Linked DNA regions of Bombyx mori. Each later gene encodes a partner of the first gene's protein in a complex. Links are inferred from orthologs where the notes say so. Each region holds a gene or a part of one and is shown in the gene's direction. Other genes may lie near its edges.

Region 1 (10,604 bases):
GACTCTAGGCTTTTAAGCCTAACCATTATACGGATAATAAGAATAACAATTTTTTTTAAAATGTAATGTTTCCATTGCATTGTAGTCGGTATGATATAGGTTCGCCCCCTCATGACCTATGCAAGTGTAGTGTTCGCTCACGCGACCCGCACAAACTTGAAACCCCTTCAAATAATATAATCCCGTTCTTATAGGATAGCTGCCGGAGCCCCATGGTACATCCGAAACGTAGACCATCAGTAAGTATCTACATTCGGCATCAGTGTGCCATTTCGAGAAAGCGGCATGACACGAGACCTCTCATCGTAGCCACCGGTAAATAAATTCCCGATCCTGCGGGCCAAAAGGTAAACAGTAGACGTCACCCAAAACACGTCATTTCGGATCCACTCGATCCACTAACGGTGCTGTTAGGTACCCCAAGCACCAGTCATCGTTCTCGTCGAACCCGTTGCTTGCGACGAAAGGCTCAGCGAGTAAACTAACCCACAGACCACTGAGTTTCTCGCTGAATTTTCTCAGTGGGTCGCGTTTCCAATCCGATGGTAGATTCTGCAAAGCACTGCTCTTGCTAGGGTTAGTGCTAGCAACGTCGTCAGGTTTGAGCCCCGTGAGCTAATAGTTAAGGTTACTCTGAAATGGTCTCTCAAGAACATCAGCTTAGGAAAAAAAAAATGGTATGTACCTATACTACCTATCTGTAGGCTCAAGGGCGGATCCAGCTTTGGCGCCAAGAGGGGGTCACATAATCAAATTTTCGATGCGCTCGTTCCCAAACGCTTGCCATCATACAAAGTTATTAAATTATATTAAATTAATTAAATATTGAAGGTATGTAGTTACATAAAATCTGTATAGTGACAAAATATATAAATAAAATCATTATGGTCAATTAGTGGTTCACCTAAGTCCTGGAACCAGCTCAGGGGGGGGTCATGACCCCATGACCCCCCCCGGGATCCGCCGTTGTGTAGGCTATGAATGAAAATTAAATCTAGTGAAGTAAAATTAAGTGTAATATTATTATAATATATATTATATTCTTGATCCAGGCGGTAAAGTATTTGAGAGTCGTCCTGGATGACGTGATCTGCAAGTGGGGAAAAAGTGCTTTCGCAATAAGGTGTCATTTTACAAAACTTAAACGCGGCCTATACTGACTTATGAGTATGATTCGGTGACACGGCCGACACGCACATAGACTTCCACCAGGGAATTCAATCTCTGTTTTGTTCGAATAGGTTTTAGCAATCTTTCTTCTCTTTGCGAGAGTTTTTACCCGCCCAAGTGTCCTAGCTAGGCGGTAAGAACATGCCGCGCCGTAATCCTTCCACCCAAAAGAAAAACAAAAAAGCTAAAAGCATAATAGATGTCAGTTTCAATTTTCTCATTTTATTGTAATCCTTTTAAATTCACTTAATTATCATCATTAATTTATTATAAATGGAACAGCAATTTTATTTTTATATTGCCTACAAGTTGAGCAAAGAAAGAACTTTCAGCTATTCAAATAAAAAAATGGCGTATAAGCTTAGCGTTCTTTGCCTTTCCTAGTGAATCAAACAAAAAAAAGAGATTGGTTTGGAATTCTTCAACTCAGTGCCAAATTGGTAGCAATCGTTCGTCCGCCATTATTGTTTGGCGACTTAACGTTGTCGAAGTCCAGTGAAAATAAAAAATACCATTGTAAGTACATACAACTTGTTGATCTTGAATAGAATAAAAACTTATAATTTAGAGCTATAATTATTATTATGACTAAATAATTATTTAAAAACGTGCGTTATTGTAACACGTGCCAAATTATTATCCAAAAGCCGGTAGAAACTATTGTTTAGCGTCAACATAGAAAAAATAAAAAAAATAGTTTTACTTTATCTTTATCTTTACTGTTAAGTATAGATGTTAAAATAAAATGTATTCATCCAGTTATTGCTACTGGTAAAGCATTGTTAAAATAGTTTTTAGTTCGAAATGTATAATAGAGAATCAACTTCGGACATAGCTTTTAAGATTAAAATTGCAATATGATAGGAACAAATATCTTCAGTATTTAATATAACTTTATCATTAAAAAAACGGTTGAACCAAATAGCCATGCTGTTTATAAAAATTTCAATCTACCTTCCAAAACTACTTGATAAAAGTTAATGGAAAATGAAGGTCACAATGAAAAATTTTAATAAAAAAATTACTTTGCAGGTAATGGATGATGACTGGGATGATTCCTGTGAAGCTGTTGTAAGTCATCAACTATAAAAAATAAAAATGATTTTTTTGATAATAATACCTAAAATAATAATATATCTTTAACAAAATGTGAATTTTCTCCATATTATTATATTAAAGTCACATAATATTTGAATAGTTTGGTTCAATTTCCTTCATGGTAATATGTGTGCAAAGCTTCAAGAGAACATTTAAAAAGGTCAAAATTATGTGCTCTTTTAATATTTAACATTTTAGTCTATTTTTTGTTCCATGGAATAACTTAAGAACCACAGCGTTGGAGCTTATGGATATCACAATGTGTTACCATCCTCCTTTGGGACCAGTGGTAAAAGTCTCAATCAAATGGTATTGTAAACCGATTGTCCCACAATATGAACCCTTCACCTATTTGCAGGCTAATTATTTGACCTATAACTGATAATTAAGCAAATCAACACTTCTCATTAATGATTTTTACCACATGATGATCTCAAACTTGTGTAAAGCACATATTTTCATAAAAATAACTGGACCAAGCCTGCAGGATACAATTTCTGGAATATGAAATGAAATTTTAATGTCATAAAATTCAGTAACTTTTTGGTGTTTAATGATTTTCCTGGTTTTCACAAGCTGCAGACATAATTAAAATTACTTTAATTAATCTTATTATCTGTTGTCTGCATTCTAGGTGGTGCCACCTCCCCCACTACAGAACCATGATTCTGTAGATGAAGGTCACAGTCTATCCAGAGGAAGAGGATTTCCTTCCTTCAATGAGGATGGTAAGAATTCAGTATTTTTCATTTCTGCTTTTAAAACTGATAGTAACATATTAACTTAAATTACATTTGAATACTGCATAGAAACATAAACTAAGGGAATGAAATTAAGTGCTTGTTCTTGATATAAGATTTTGTGTATCTTACCTTTGCTTAGCTATTTTATATTAAGGGTTAAAGTATGAAATTGCCGATTTGTACTGAAAAATTGAAATTCGTTCTTTTTTTTCATTTAACATATTTTTTAATCAAAATATCTACCATTATTATCTATACATTGCTGCCATCTAATAGGAAGGTAATTTATGCCTTTGTGATAGAACTCTGGTGGTCTATATTCTACAAACTGTCAAAGCATTTTGTCCTGGGAAGCAAACTTTTTATAACATAGAAAATTGTCCAAATCACGAAAAAAATGCTAGTCCGTTCGAGCAAGGTTTGGCGAATATGGAGGGTGACGAATGGTTTCTTATTGCAGTTCCTGTAGAGTTAAAACGGTTTCTCGTGCTGTATGAGGTCTCGCGTTATCATGGAGCAATGATGGTGAAGATCGATTCATGAGTCGAGGCTGTTTCACTGCAAATTTTGCTTTCGTTGTTCGGATTTCGGCACAGTAGACATCTGCCGTTATTGCTTGACCAGATCGGAGAAAGCTATAGTGAATAACAACGTGCTGAGACCACCAACAGTTACCATTACCTTTTATTGGTAAACTTTGCTTTAGGACACTGTTGCAGCGTTTGACCTGGGGTCAGCCATTGCCTCTTTCTCTTACGGTTAACGTAAGGAATTCACTTTTCATCACATGTCACAATTCGATCCAATATTCCGTCATATCTGTATCGATTCAACAAGGCAACACAAGTTTCAACGCGTTTCTTTCTGCAGACCAGTCAAATCATAAGGGACCCCCGTTTTTCATATTTTTTTTATTTTATTGATTTAACGCATATGAGTCAACATCATTGGTAAGGTAACGTTAAACCATGCCGCAAATCCCTGGGTAGTATGGGTCGGATCGGCTTCCAACATCTCTTTCAATTCGTTCGTTCTTCAAATCAAAATTTCCATCACGAAAGCGTTTAAAACAAAATCGCACGGTGCGGTCATTAGCAGTCTCCGCTCCAAACGCAACATTGATATTGCGAGCTGTTTCTGCAGCGTTAGTTCCGCGTCGGAACCCTTATTAAAATATCACTCGAATTTTCGAAGTATCGCATCTTTTTCGTCTAAGCTGAATAAAAAAAAGCAACTGAAAGTCGAATCGAATTTTGCACATTTTTTAAACAAAGAACCTCATAGAATGGTACCATTTGAAAAAAGTTTCACCCAAAAATCTCAAACCGTGAAGCTTCTATGTCAATTCGAAGTACCAATTACAATAGAATGGCAATTTCATACTTTGACCCCTTTTATTTTTACATGTTTCACATTCACATTGTCTTGTCAATAAAACTGAAAGCTTTTACTGGGTATGATAAAAACTCCACTATAGCTATTTTTTGCTAAGAAAATTTAATCAAAAACATTATAATAAATATATATAACTAAATCAGAACTGTAAAAAGCAGATTATGATATTAATATTGAAAGAAGTATTAACAAAAACATATTGTAAGGCTGGTTTGGTGTCAATAAATTTTTGAATTGAGTTGCCACTTAAGTTTTCTTTAGGCACTTATGATGCTTTAATTAACTCTGGTTAAGCACTTAAGCATGGAATTTTAAGTATCCACAGCTGAACCCAAAAATAAAATGTATGTTGACATATGCTGAAAGCAGTTTTTCAACTCTAATAGCATTGTAATAATGTGATAGATATTGTTATTGGAAAGTATTCCTTTGGGTTACTTGATTAATTTGAATCTTTTCTCACTTGCATGAATGTAAAAAATTCAAAACAATTTCATTTTATCAAACTAAATATGTGAATAACTGAAATATATAACAAAAAGTCTGACCTATGTTTCTGTGTGGTCATGCATGCATTTTCTGTCATTGACTTCTTGAACCTGTTTTCTGCAGCATTGTTATTATAGACATTATTTTCTCAATAATATAAAGTCTTAATACTGCACTGATTAAAGCTACAAAAAATATATAGTTTAAATCATCAGTAAAATTTAATATTTCTAGAAGAAACATTTGAATTTTAGATGAAAAAGAGAATGGGTATGGTGAGCGACGGGGTCGAGGTGGCCGAGGCGGAGGACGAGGACGCGGCGGAAGAGGTGGACGTGGAGGGTCACGAGAACAGCACAGCGACTATGAGACTAATGGTAATAGACACAAATATCAAAAATTAAACTCCATATTATCCATGGATATTGAATTATTTATTGTTTGCAATTATTATTTATATTGTCTCATAAATGGTATGAATATTGTATATAATTATAGGTGACCATGATGATAGGGGTCGTGGCGAACGTGGCCGAGGCCGCGGAAGGGGAGGACGTGGTGGTGGTAGAGGTGGTGGTGGCGGAGGAGGCGATAGAAATGATTATGAAGATAATGAAATAGGGGAAAACGGGGAAACGAAGAAGCCGGTAACCTATGTGCCTCCAGAACCAACAAATGATGAGACGGAAATCTTTAGCAGTACTATAAGCTCTGGTATTAACTTTGACAAGTTTGACCATATTGCAGTAAAAGTAAGTACCTAAGTAATTTGTTGTACTCTCAAACAGTTTTAAAGTAACTATAGCAAGTAAATTACTTTTTAATACTTAATAATAAAAAGAGCTTTTTTTTTTCATAGTACAAAAGTTTTGATGAAATATTTTAACCTCGTACTAAAGAAAATAAATTCGTTTTATAGATCATAAAATGCTAAGTCTACAAATATGAGTATTTCCCTATATTTATGATGCAAATCAAATCTCTAATGTTATGTTTACTTCATAGAATGTGAATGCATCCATCCAATGCATGCAATTATCTATTTTAGAAAGAGCCAACACTATAAAGCTGGTGAAAACCATGGCTCTCTTGTCAATCTCTCAGTTAAAAACATTGTTATTCTCTGTCTAATATTGAATACTAATTTAATTTGCAGGTCAGTGGTGAGAATCCTCCGAGACCTATCGAAAGTTTCGAAACTGCAAATCTCAGAAAGTATGTTTTAGATAATGTACTTAAGGCTGGTTATAGAAAACCCACACCTATTCAGAAAAATGCAATCCCAATCATAATGAGTGGCAGAGATTTGATGGGTTGTGCCCAGACTGGTTCGGGTAAAACGGTAAATTTGAACTGTTTAATATACACAGTAATTCAATCCACTTTTAGTCTTTAGTCTTGCGTCTTTTTAAGTATTTCTTTTCCTTTAAAAAAAATTTTTTTTCCCATATTTTTCACCTTTCACATACTTTAACTGGGCCATCGTCAGTCAATCGTGCATGACCGCGAAAACTGCAGGAAACGAAAATAATATGGTAATCAAAATAAATAAATAAACCCGAGATTAAACTGTAAAACTAGTTTTAATTACGCTCACGACTCGCGAAAACCTTAAAAATAAGTAAATTACAAAAGCGAAAATAACTATTCAAAATTATTGATACAAACCTTCTTTTACAATAATTCAGTCGATTTTTTCTTTCAGGCTGCTTTTTTGGTACCCATAATTAATATGTTATTACAAGATCCAAAGGATCTGATCTCAGAAAATGGCTGCGCCCAGCCACAGGTGGGTAAATTTTTATTTTATTTTGAAAAGTAAGAATATTGTAAAGCATTTTTTGTTGTAATGTTAAATTAATTTTAGGTTATAATAGTATCTCCAACGCGAGAATTGACTCTTCAAATATTTAATGAAGCTAGGAAATTCTCATATGGCTCAGTTTTGAAGGTTGCAGTTGCTTATGGTGGCACTGCTGTGCGCCATCAAGGTGATAACATTGCTGTGAGTATTTCAATATTCAACTATTCAATATAATTTCAGTAAAACAGTTAAACATGCAATAGAATAACGTTTTTAGGGTCTAGGTTGAGTTATGAATGAAAGACTTATGTTACTAAATAATCAGCAGAATAATTAAGATAAACAATGTTTAATATTACTTACTAAGTTTGTATTAAAATAGGTCAAGATGATTGTATAAATACCGGCGGTTAGCATATTATGTTGATGTTGCATTCGTATTTTACCCGCCGTAACGTGTACTAAAGAATATATTATTTCGTGTGGATGTAACTTTTCTAGTAAGAAATTAGTGATCCTTAAAAATATATAAATTAGTTAGTCAACTACAACATTATTACTACAACCCTTTCTGCATCCTGGTTGAGCTATCAACTTCCTATATCTACAGCATTATTCAACATACAATATTATTATCATCATTTTAAATCCGAAATATAGTAAAAAATAAAACTTAATACACAGAGAGGCTGTCACATATTGGTAGCAACACCAGGCCGTCTTCATGATTTTGTGGAAAGGAATCGTGTATCATTTGGCAGTGTAAGATTTGTCGTACTGGATGAGGCTGACCGTATGTTAGATATGGGGTTCATGCCAAGCATTGAAAAAATGATGTTACATCCAACCATGGTGGAGACCGTAAGTTAATTAGTAATTAATCTTATTTATTATGCCAATTAGTAACTTAAATAAAATATAATAAAATAATTCTTAATGTGCAACTATTTAGTTTTAAAAATTGTGGGAATAAAGAAAATGGTGTTTAAAATATGAAATGGTCAATTTATAACTGATGGTCAATGGTACCTTTTTGTTTTAATAATTTCATATTCTTTCACTTAATGAATGAACCATGAGGGAGATCAGACAGGTAAATAATGATGAAATAAAATGAAAGCCAATGTCCAAGGAATTACTCATTACTTTATATTAGCTTATAACATCACTAATTCATTGGTACCAAATTGATTGCTTTAAAAGAGGGAGAAGCGACTTCCACTTAAATGAAATATTATGAATGTATAGAGGCACAAGGTGGTTTTGATTTGCTGAGTAGGTATAAAATTACAGTTAATTTTTATTCCTACTCACTGGTTACTTGTCAGTTAACACACTACCTACTTTGTATCAGACTGTAAGTGATCAAGGGAAAAATACACAATGCGAAGCTTGTGGTAATCACCACATCAATATAATATCAGATGTCTATTAAGAACTTTGATTAATGATTATCTCCATCATTATAGAAAATACGCAACTAATCAACTAACTTTTAAACTCAATATTTAATTTTAATTTTATAATTTAATTTTTTTTTCCAATTCGGACCTTTGATTAGAAATTATATTTCACTCATCAAATTTAGCTTTCACCTTTTAATGAACTACGTAAAAATATGTGAAAGAGAAAATTACTCTTAGAATATGTACAAAATGTCTCTCGATATTGCAAAGTTTGCATAGACCTTGAGAGGATATTTTCTTTGATTAATATATACAATTTCTCTAAAAATAGGATATATTTTCATATTCATCATACATTATTATAATGAGATATTGTTATGTCAATATCTCATACTTTAACCTAAAATAAAATAATAGAACTACTATAATATATAATAATACTATTAATTGGCGACTATTATCAGCGGATCCTGTTCGCTTGTAATATATTGGAGTCACATACATGCTTTGCATTCAATGATAATACTCGACCAAAGATATATTTGTGTACATTGGGGATTTAAAATTACTAATTAAACTGAACTTCTACACACTCCTTTACCCAGTTTTTATAAAACCACATAAACATGTAAATAGTTTTGTAATAATACAAGAAGAAATTATATATTTCTAAGAAAATTAAAATTGTGCTTTATATCCACTGCAGACGAAAAGGCAAACTTTAATGTTTTCGGCAACATTCCCCGAAGACATCCAACATTTGGCTGGTCGTTTCTTAAATAATTATCTATTTGTGGCGGTTGGTATCGTCGGAGGCGCTAGCACTGACGTCGAACAAATCTTCATTGAAGTCACTAAATATGAAAAACGGAACAGTCTAAAACAACTGATTGAGGAAAATGGTGAGAAAATATTTTAATAATATAGTCCATAATTCCAGAAAAAGTGAATTGTTGTTGTTCTTTCTTATTTTCATGTCATCTTATAAAACAATCATTACAGATGGTAAAAGAATCTTGGTATTTGTCGAAACAAAACGTAATGCAGACTTCATAGCAGCCATGTTGTCGGAACAGCAATTGCTGACATCTTCAATTCACGGCGATCGCATGCAACGTGAGCGCGAGGAAGCGTTACAGAATTTTAAGAGTGGGAAACACTGTATCTTGGTTGCAACAGCTGTAGCTGCACGTGGTTTAGGTAAACATCATTTAATTTTTATATTGTTTTTTTTTTGTTATTATAATGTTTACAATGCCTAGTTCAGTTCCAATCTGCCAAGAAATCCGAAAATCATAAAGATTAATGTACTATCATTTTTTTTATATAATAATGGTAATAATAGACGTTTATTCCGCCTAAGCAATAAAACAACTTTTGATGTACCGACATGCAATTTTTGTCACTAGTTAAACTTTGAACAACTTTAATTAAAACAATGAAAATGAAAACTAAATATCATATAACTAATTTATACCGCACTATCGACTGTCAAGCACTGTAAACACCGGTTATTTTTAAAAGAATGCTCAGTTATTAGTTTGTAAATTAAGAAAAATCTTAATTTACAAACTAATTGAGCATTAATATCTGAAAATATTAATTTCAATGAACATTTAAAAAACTGTTCATTGAAATTAATATTTTATTACTTCAAGGGGGGTGGACGCGCTCACGGCCCACCTGGTGTTAAGTGGTTATGGGCCCATAGACATTGTAACAAGGTGAATACCGACATAGTCGCATTGCTCGATATGAATGGACTGTGTGACCCTTTAGCCCAGTGGCTCTCAAACTAAGAGTCGCAACCCCTTTGGTGGCCGTGAGAAGGTTGTTGGACGTCACTATTTTTTAATTTTTCGGTCGGTTTTAGTAGCTCGTATATACCACTCCCTCCGTATTTAGGGGTCTTCTAAGCTTTTCTCTACTGAAGGCGTCGTAGTGGAAAAAAGTTTGCGCAACACTGCTTTACAATAGTTTTTTTTAATACAAAAATTGTATACTTGGTTCTGCCACCCAACACATACATATACATATAAAGTTATCCAGGTTCAGTGAAACATCGATTTCAGTACAACTTGCAGTTGTTCCATCCATATTCTAAGCTTAAAGGAGGTGGTAGAGAAAGCAAAATTTTTGAATATCTACTTTATTTTCAAATTTATCCAATTTTTTTCTCACAAGAAGTTGACGGAGTTACTTTATATTTTTTTTTTATTTTCAGACATTAAAAATGTAGACATTGTAGTGAATTATGACCTCCCAAAGAGCATTGATGAGTATGTGCACAGAATAGGGCGTACTGGTCGCGTAGGAAACAGAGGAAAAGCCGTATCGTTTTATGATTCTGATCAGGTAATTAAATTATAATAAATTGAATGATTCAGTTGAGAAAATCTGATTTAAATACAATGTTTATTCGATGAACACTGATAATAAAATACACTCAATAAATTAGAACATAAACATTAATCATTTTTTTACACTGTATAATTCATA
Region 2 (10,426 bases), on another chromosome or scaffold:
AGCTACAACAAAAAAAAATGATAAGGTGTACGCACACAGTAATGAAGAAGCGAGCAACCGTATTCCGCGTGTCCAACGAGGACATTTTCCATCCTCGCTCATGGTATGGTTGGGAGTTTCTTATTGGGGCTTAACAGAGGTACATTTTTGTGAGAAAGGTGTAAAAACGAGTGCAGTTGTGTATCAAAATAAAGTCCTGACGAACCTTGTGGTACCTGTTTCCCATACCATGTTCAATAACAGGCACTGGGTATTCCAACAAGATTCGGCGCCAGTTCATAGAGCGAAGATCACACAAGACTGGCTGGCGGCGCGTGAAATCGACTTCATCCGGCACGAAGACTGGCCCTCCTCCAGTCCAGATTTGAATTCGTTAGATTACAAGATATGGCAACACTTGGAGGAAAAGGCGTGCTCAAAGCCTCATCCCAATTTGGAGTCACTCAAGACATCCTTGATTAAGCTAGCCGCCGATATTGACATGGACCTCGTTCGTGCTGCAATAGACGACTGGCCGTGCAGATTGAAGGCCTGTATTCAAAATCACGGAGGTCATTTTGAATAAACTTTAGTGTTATAAGAATCTATGTTTTGTTAAGTTCATTTTGGTATATGAATGGTTACATAATGAATAAACTTGTTTAAATGATTTTACATTAAACATGTGACAGAATTTATGACCTGACTATGTATATTAAAATTGTCGTTAGCGCGATTCAGATCTAAGTCCGATATTTTATACTCTATGGTAGCTACATTCGCTACACCACTCCACCGAGATCAGAAGTTGTATGAGTAAGTATAGTATGTAGTATGATACTAGATATTAAATAAGGTGAGGTGAAGTGACATTAAGACTCCCCGCGCACTAGCAACCAGGCTGCGGCAGCCAAACGAATATATGGCGTTGTATGGGAGCCCGCGCACATAAGCAACCCGGAACTCTTGGCTGCGGCAGCCATTACAACGCGCCTGTTGCACGGCTGCCCATCGGCTGTGGGCAGCCAGAGCGAGTGTCACCAAATGTATGTGGCTGCTGTCAGTCCCCGCGCACTTGCTGTAGTAGCCAATGCATATTCGTTTTGCCAAATATTAGTTATATGACACAGCATGCTTGTACAATCCCTTGTATTTACAAAAACCGGTCTGGTCTGCTATGTATGTATGAACATCTTTAAAATAGTTATAGAATAAGCCTTCTGAGTGTTTTCTTTGCTTTGCGTTTTTTACGTCGATTGGTTTCTATACTGGCTGCTCAAATATTTCGGTTGCCGCAGCCAGGCTGCCTAGTGCGCGGGGAGCCTAAGACTTATGTGCCCATGTCTATTTAGCTATCGAGATAAAAAATAATCGAACAGCATTTTAAAAAACTTTTAAAACAATAACACTGATACAAAACTTTTCTATTTAATAAGAAGAGGTCAGGTGCGGATTATTCAATAAAATGAAGCATAAAGAGCCCCTTATGTTCTGGTGTTGTCGTGCCCATTGCCATATATTAGTCATCATTACCTCTGACCTTAATATTCGAACTGACGTACATTACGAAACTTTAAACGTTCTCTTTTTTGTCCTTTTGTTACAGAACCCTAAAAACTGAAATAATCTAGTGTTTAGTGAATTTTATTCAATAAAAAGGGAATCAAATGCAATGAAACTAAAGTGATCTTCACAATCATATAATAAAAAACAATAGATAAATATTTACTAACAATCATGCCACGTTAACTGGTCCCGTGCTAAGTTGTTAAAGAACTTGTGTTACAGGTACCAGATAACGAAAATAAACGTAAGATTTTTATTGTACACATACATATATTTAATATACATCCATAACCCTGGAAAAGACAATATATATTTATCATACAAATATCTTCCCTTGGCGGGATTCGAACCCGCGACCCCCTTGTGTAGTGACCATGTCACCACTACGCCAGACGGCCGACCAGTCTTGTATGTTAAGTACAATTTGACCGAATTTATAGGTTTCGTTTAGCTTAATGAAGTTTTAACGTGTTGCACGATCTGTTTAGCATTTTATCATGGGTATCCTTGACTCACTCCGGGCTGTTCCCAGAAACAGCTTGATTACCTCTGATTACATTATGCAATGACTAGCCGTGTGAATGCCATTCACTTGATGAAAAACCCTGAAATACTGTTTACACAGCGATCGGACAGCATATTTTCAACGTAGGTTAGACATACATAGGTGGGTGTTATTATTTAAACGAGGTTTTAGGTAAATATAAAATTTAATCATTTTATTTATACTTATTTTATACTTATTGTACACAAAAAGAAAATACAATAAAAACAGATTTAAAGAATGTCTAAATACTATGTACAAAGACGAACTTAACTCATTCATGTGTTTTCTTCCAGCAAACCATTAGCAGAGAGAAATACGATGTATAAGAGGGGAAAAGTGTACAATATAAAAGCTATTAAAGCATGACAATTAAATAAAGCTTTGAAAAAAAAATCTAATATAAAATGAAAAATACATATAAATAAACATACACGAAACAATAATTTAAATACAATTAAAGTGACAGGAAATGCAATTAATTAATTTTTTTTTAATTTTTTTAATTTTTTTTTTTTTTTAATTTAATAGACTTAAAAAAAATTTCATACTCATTTCTTTATTCTATCTATAAACGGCCGTCTGGTGTAGTGGTAAGTGACATGGTCACTACACAAGGGGGTCGCGGGTTCGAATCCCGTCAAGGGAAGATATTTGTATGTTAATATAAATGTCTTTTCCGGGGTTATGGATCTATATTAAATATGTTTATGTGTATAATAAAAATCTTATATTTATTTCCATTATCTGGTACTTGTAACACAAGTTCTTTACGAACTTATCACGGGACCAGTTAACGTGGCGTGACTGTTAGTAAATATTTATTTATTTATTTATTATTTATGTAATGCTTATAAATTTACAGTCGCCCGCCTAAGAACTGCTTACTTTTCTCTAATATGCGACTATTTTCGAGATACAAACACAAGCTTGAACATAATAATATTGTCCATTACGTAGTGTTTTATGACCAATATTGTAGTGTCCTGTGGGGCTTCATCGCTACATAAATACAAGCCTTATGTTCGTCGTTCAATATACTGTCTTTATATTTTGTATTGATTCCTTTCTGAAAATAATGGTACATCTTTTAATAATATAGAGCAAATAATTATAAATGTGAGTATGTTCCAACACTTTTAACTATTGTATTATATATTGGAATAAACACAGACAACGTAAATAATATAACAATGTAGTAAATCTATACTAATATTATAAAGCTGAAGAGTTTGTTTGTTTGAACGCGCTAATCTCGGGAACTACTTGTCCGATTTGAAAAATTATTTCAGTGTTAGATAGCCCATTCATTGAGGAAGGCCATAGGCTATATAACATCACGCTAAGACCAATACAAGCGGAGCACCAATAGAGAATGTTTCAATATCGGGTTTTTTCCCTTTTGAGAGTTTCCGCTGCGTGCGCTGCAGAAACAGTTGAAGTTTCGCTATAATAATGTATGACAGAATTGTTCCCCTTTAAAAGATCTAAAAAAAAGTTCGCGACAGCATATGTCTATATGTTAAGGTTGGCTCACTATAACGTTTTTTATGCTAACCAAATTTGTTCTTAAATAAAGCGTTATTTGTGAACTATTCAACGCGGACGAAGTCGCGGGCAAAAGCTAGTATAAATATATATATAAAGAATGAATGTGGACGTATTCGTTCGTGACTTGTGGGCTCCCGCTTCTTTTTATCCGGTCGAAGTCAAATTTGATACAATTCTTATTCAGGAAAGGTTTTTGTCACGCTAATACAGCTTTAATAGACTTGTTTGTTTCATATTTTTATCGATAGTCATAGTCACAACGTTGAGGATGTATTTACAAGTGTATAGCACTTTAAATACTTTTTAAAAGATCAAATTGTGATGCACTTGTGACACCGTTCATTCCCTTTTTTACTTGTGGGTATATTATAATCCCTTGGACGATTTTGGTTTTGCTGTAACTATCTGTAGTAGGTACTGTCCATCGATCTAATCTGCTTATTTTTACCGCGTAACACTAATGTGTATAAAAACAAAAGGGACACAACCTTAACTATATTTTAACTATATCAAAACTTAACATTTCACAGTATTTGTATTGAACTCAATAATAAATATTAATAGGATTTAATACGCTCTTTTACATTATTGTAATACTAAAATCAAAGGCCAGAGGCCAATTCGTTTCGTGATGAATTCTTTTCACGTCTCGAATCTTTGTGAAGTTCCCGAGCGCCGCGATAGGGCACGCTATCATAGGGCATCTCGAGCACATGGCACTCTGGGAGTTCGGGAGAAGCGGGGGCGGGAGCGAGCATCGTCGCGGTCCGTTCTAGTTTCAACAACGTCAAAGCCAAGCGGTGAAGCGGAGCCAGACGGCAGTCCAACACCAAACGACACACAGACCGAGCGCCTCGTCCTCGCAAAGCGACCGCGTCCGCTATCACGCGATCTAACATCTAAGCATTTTGTTTTTGATCTAAATAGAAAATATTTATCGAAATAAATAAATATTAGAAACGACGTTCGAATTGTACGAAAAAAGGAATTTATCGACCCAAGCTTTGCGCGCTATTACAACCCTTATTCACTTCAAGTCGCTCCCTCTAATTATTGACTCCCCTAAAGTTTTTTCGAAAAATTCATTCGGTATCGATTGTGCCCTTTCGTCGTGCTCAACTTTTATTATTATTTCGCTCTGTGAACAGCAAAATTTCCTGGTGCGTGAAGTAACGCGCTGACTTTTGGCTGATTTTTTTTCCGAATCCATCGGTGCCTTCCTTGTTCACTTATTTCCTAGTTTACTGAAATTAAAGTGTCAAGTAAAGTCTAAAAGAAGACATAAAAATTATGAGAGTGCTTTGACAACGACGCGATACGATTCCTCGCGTGTGGTGAATGTGTGACTGGTTATTTTGGACTGTGAGTGAAGGGACCTCGGCGAGGTGCATGCTCGCGTGAGCAGCGTCGACAGCGGATGTGCACGCCGCTGCCATCCTGGTGGTTCGTGCCGGCTGGAATGCCAGCTGCTCTTGACCTAACCAGGTAATTTGCATAAAATTATTTCACACATCTGCCTCGATCAATGTGTATGCGCTTGTTCTAATAATGAGTAACCACTTAAAAAGAGAATACAAGATCTAACCTTTATTTATAATGTGTTTAAATCAAGCCATAGAAACTTTTGCAAAAGAAGAAGACGTGACATATTTTTGTTAATCCTAATAATAAAAGTACTTAGATCTACGTCAACATAACTTGTATGTAGTACTAGTTGTATGCTGGCAGGGCATTCTTCAAGCTTACACGTGCAGGTACCACCAGCCTGTCTATTTCTGACTCGATCTGATTTCAATGGTGTGACAGCTGCTACACAAAAGAATTGAAACTTCAGACTCACGTTTCAAGATTAATGAGAGTATTCATGTTGCAACATCTATGGGTTCTAGTACGAGCAGACCGTGAGCTCATGTCCAACAGAAATTTAAAAAAACTTAATGATTCTATCTAACTCTTATTATTTACATTACTTATTATTTACTCGTAAACTTTCGGTATCTTAAATATTAGAAGCAAAGTCATCAGTTGTAAGCACGGGCTTAGTAGCAACGTCGTGTCTATTTCTGCCGTGTACCAATCAAGTACTACGGTTTGAAGAGTAGGATAGCCTATATTTACCACGGTGATCGCTTCACCTCATTATTTATGCCTTCCGTTACCGCTGGTATCAAATGGGTCGTTGGTCTGTCCAATTAAGCTAATAAAAAAAAACCTAGTCCGATTTATTGAATTTAATAGAAGTAAATCTAGGATCAATACCCGAATAGACTACTATAGTATATATATTATAGAATCGAATTATATTTAATTCTCTGCCATGTACCCTGTCATGAATAAAAAAATAAATATATAATATAACATACGAACAATTAGACCACGTTTTAAAATAAACCTACCTAAGTAATAAATAATGGATCCATGAAATTAGCGTTCAAAAATCTCAGTGTAGAGAGCTTATAATGTTTGTTATGTAATTTCACAGAACCAGTTGATGTTACGAATACAAACATCATGACTTACAATTATTCAACAGCTTGTTATTATGATTAAAATTAATGATGTCACCCATAACAATAACAAAATAAGATTCATAATAAAAACTCATTATTTACAAACAAAATTCTTTTACATAAATGTAGTTGTAAACATAACAGATTGAGACTTTAGAAATTAACAGAATTATAACGAAGACCCTAAACCACCAACAGCAGCCATGTGGGTAACATTTTAATGTTTATTTTCTACACAATACCACCCGCGTCGTTTGACGGTCGTGGTTTGAAAACGAATCAAAAAACCCGTCTACTTACTCGAGTTCAATGTGAACATTGGTACAAAATGCCCGTAATCTGATTGAAAGCGTAAAAATATACTTACATAAAATTTTTGGAACAGAATTCGTGCTACTGGCATGTATTTTGAAGCCGACACGGGCAGGTATTATTATCATCCCTATTTATACCACAAAACAAAAATACTTTCTGGTTTTAAGAGTGGAACAGCTTTACTATATGTTTCAGATTTTAACCTCATCTGTCAAGGTTGCATTCTTGTTGTGATATGATCCGATAACCACTTAACACTAGATTTTCTTTACTGAATAATTAGAAAAGGGCTAAATCCATATTTTCAACAACCTTAAGTATGCACAAACATCGCTAAAGAGAAAAAGAACTGGAATAGGAAAATTAAATTGGTTACTTAAAAAATCCATAGAAGCATATGAATTACAATAATTTATAGAGGTTCATTGTAAGCAGTGGTCGACACGCAACTTTGGCCGTCTCTGGAAACGAAAGCAAAGTATTAAAACAGTCCCCTTTTTACTTTGTAATCGCTCTGAAAAAGGAATATTCCGTAACTCTGACATATATTTGATATACGACGGCTAGTATGCTACAAATTTTAAACCGCAGTGACGTGGATGATTCTTCCTTATTACATCTTCAAGGATTTTACTCGAGGTTTGCAAGTGAACATATTTTTTGTTTCTTTACATATCAATTTAAATTTGCTTTTCCTTATTCGATTAGCACTAGACGTACGTTTTTGTCTGTCCCCCGGCTCGTAATATTTAGTACTATTTAGTACGGAGCACGAGTCAGAAAGCGTCATCTCCAACACTCGTCATTTCCGAGAATCTTCAACGACTCATTCGAGTTCGCTGTAACTAGTACGCGAAACATTATTATGACAGGGCCAAGTGTCCTAAACATTAACCAATCCAAATTCAAACTATTTACTTGTATTTATTTCGAACTTCGGTAGTTTCTATTTACATGGAAGAAATAAATTCTTTCACTCATCAACGCGAAGTCTGCTTTGTTCGAAACAATATTCCCGCAGTGGCAACACCGTTAAAAATAAAGTGGCAGAGCTGCATTAACGTGTAAGCAAGCCGAAGACAAAAGCGATCACAATATCCTACACAGTAATAGAGAAGCTTTGCAAACACGCTTTAATGGTGCAAATGCTGCCAAATTTACGGTTCATTGCACTTTATATTGTTGCTGACTGGCAGTACGAACTAGACACGTTTATCGAATCGATAATTCGTAAATTTGATATCGTTTGTGTACACGAATATGCGTCTAGACCTCAATAAAATTATGATAGATGCGATCTTTTAATTTTAATAGTAGTTTATTTACACATATGCTATGTCAGTAAATGATGTTTTACTAGAAATTCAATTATACAATTATATAACATTATATCGATAAAAATTGTTAATTATTATGGCGCAATAATTATTTAGTTCCCTCCTATGACTGTTCAATTAAATAAAGCAAACCATGAACCTTTGAAATATTCCCAAAAAAATACCATGATTATAATGGATATGGTACTTAATTCGTAAAACTCGTAGGCAGCACTGTTCTTCCGCGTTCGTCAGCCCAGCACACGCCTGCAAGGTCATGTGAACCTCTTTGTCTAAATCGCGATGTGGGTACATAAAAAACGATTTGAGTGCGGTTATTCACATGATTCCATCCTATATAATCAATCGCGGACTGTGTAGCCCGTCACTACTAAAAAAGCCACACCATTATTATCTACAGATTGATATTAAAAATTAAAGTATGTAGTTTAAAACGATAAATCGAACCGGAGCGATTTTTTTTTGCGTGCATTCTTGATTTAATTTTAGTGGACTTGTGGCATATATATTTTCAGTTATAAGAATTTACGTGAAAAGTTAACGCAATATGTTGATAAACTTCTTTTTGACCTTCCGTATATTTTCAACTTTCGCCACTTACGTCTCATATTGTCATTTAAAACCTGGCGTGCTACTTCAAATATGTAGCCTTACAAGTATATCAAGTGATCTTTTGAATGCGACTCTACCTACTTCGTGCAAAATAAAAAGAAAGTCTTTTAATCAAATTTGATGAAGCAATATCAAATTTCATTAAAATTCTTGCTGTCATAATGGCCCAACTTTTACAGGCTACGTTTCGTTAACAGTTTTGATGCACGAACGTTTTTTAATTAACCAAATTGGATTCATTCGAAATAAAAAGAAAATGGTACGACGCATACCTACAACTAAATTGGACGAAAATATACAATACAATTTTACGTTTATAGTATAGTGCTGTGGTAAAGGGTCCTTACCACAATTTTATGAATCATTCTATTTTTTTTTTTTTATATTTATTCACCGAATCTTTATTTCCTTCGTTGACTCTTCAAATATCACTTCTTCTAATCAAACTTCTTTGGCTCATTCAAATATCACTGGAAATGTATGTATATATAAGGTCCACATACGAAATCCGAGGCTACCATACAAAATAATCAATATTCCTAAATCATTTAGATTTTTTAATCAAATTACCAATTAATAGCGATTCAACAATAGTATGACTTATCTACCCACTTACTACGCCTAAACCGCCGCTATAGTGTGATAGTTCGAAGTCTTTGTTTTTTTATTGACTTTGTAGGCAGACGAGCATACGGCCCATCTGATGGTAAGTGGTCACCGTCGCTCATGGACGTCAGCGATGCCAGGGGCAGAGCCAAGCTGCTGCTAACCATTAAGTACTCTCCGTAAGCCTCGTTTGAAGAAGGACTGTCATAGCGCTCGGAAAACACCGTGGAGGGGAGTTCATTCCAAAGCCGGATGGTGCGTGACAAAAAAGATATTTGGAAACGCACTGTCGATGAACGAGTCGAGTCTCCATTTGTATTATTTAACGGCTATGCCACCATTCAAATCGGAATGCAAAATGCTTCGCAGGAGCAATAGGCAGGGTGGTAGGTGCGAGCTTACAATACCTACATAAATACGCATATCATCAGTAATACGCCAATATATAAATTTGAATTCTCATTGCCCAACACAACACTGAAAACACTTAAATAACTAATAAATTCTATCCAATTCTGTTAAAAATATAAATATCGCTTTTTAGTCCGAGTTTACTCGTACCAGATCACATCTGGAACGTTGCTGATGTAAACTATTAAAAGGACAAAATCTGACACAAAATTTCGGTGTAGATAGAATTTACGTAGAGCGTCTAAACATTGGTTGGTCATACTTTTTAAACTATAAATTTAGTTGTAGGTTAGCCGGACGCTCCGCTCCCCCGGTGCGTTGAACCGTTGGTTATATTTATCTGTGACAACACGTGTTCATCGGCGGCACACGCTGATCTCCAACTTAGCGACTGCTTCAGCTCCAATAATTATTAATAATTACGCACCAGATTTAAAAAAACATCATAAAAAAAATCCGATTAATAAACGCACAAATAAATTGGAGAAATAAAACATCATTGAACGCTTTCAAAAGTGCAAGGAAGCTTAAACTTATTGAATGAACCTAAAAGAAACGGGGCATTCAAAAGTTTGCATTCTTTTGAACCTCAAAATGCTTATTCAGATTTGAAAGTATTGTCGTCGCGTCCCCTTTGCCGAAGTTTGTGCCTACTTACCTACCTCAAATGTCAATACTAAATGTAAAATATTATACGCAAGAATACCTGAGCATTTACAACGAAGTATATTCAACTCCAAAAGTCGACCACCCGGTTCCACGTTGTATTTATCATCGCTACTAACTTTTGTTAGTTTCTAAACGGCGTAACTGCACCATCACCAATTGGCGATATTAAGCGAATATTCAGCAGGTTTAAAAAAAAAGTTTTGGTATTTTTTTGGCGTGCACCTGCTCATGTCCTACCATTGGCTAAGCGGCTAACGGAGGTCATAAACACGATAATGGAATGCCAGCTCTGATCCTGGGACACGAGGACAAAGTTTCAATTGCGA

The links.
Region 2: the proteins of Vlg (region 1) and protein gustavus are in contact, whole or in part, in a crystal structure (PDB 2IHS), measured with the Drosophila melanogaster proteins. The link is inferred for Bombyx mori from reciprocal best matches to the Drosophila melanogaster genes vas and gus. Residues at the interface, in NP_001260458.1 of Drosophila melanogaster: Asp184, Ile185, Asn186, Asn187, Asn188, Asn189, Asn190, Val192, Glu193, Asp194, Val195, Glu196; in NP_001246140.1 of Drosophila melanogaster: Ser64, Leu65, Asn66, Arg79, His80, Pro81, Val82, Ala83, Ser85, Asp87, Gly112, Thr113, His127, Tyr131, Val218, Trp219, Gly220, His221.

The regions. Positions count from the first base shown.
Region 1 is NC_085125.1:8,258,130-8,268,733, reverse strand, and holds the start of Vlg (vasa-like), read left to right. Parts: upstream 1-1,602; 5' UTR 1,603-1,686; intron 1,687-2,202; 5' UTR 2,203-2,205; coding exon 2,206-2,241; intron 2,242-2,902; coding exon 2,903-2,996; intron 2,997-5,149; coding exon 5,150-5,272; intron 5,273-5,393; coding exon 5,394-5,647; intron 5,648-6,051; coding exon 6,052-6,237; intron 6,238-6,600; coding exon 6,601-6,684; intron 6,685-6,762; coding exon 6,763-6,900; intron 6,901-7,383; coding exon 7,384-7,560; intron 7,561-8,811; coding exon 8,812-9,007; intron 9,008-9,107; coding exon 9,108-9,305; intron 9,306-10,329; coding exon 10,330-10,460; intron 10,461-10,604. UniProt on the Drosophila melanogaster protein: Involved in translational control mechanisms operating in early stages of oogenesis.
Region 2 is NC_085109.1:9,086,525-9,096,950, forward strand, and holds the start of protein gustavus, read left to right. Parts: upstream 1-4,460; 5' UTR 4,461-5,057; coding exon 5,058-5,125; intron 5,126-10,426. UniProt on the Drosophila melanogaster protein: Involved in the localization of vas to the posterior pole of the oocyte. Required maternally in the germ line for efficient primordial germ cell formation.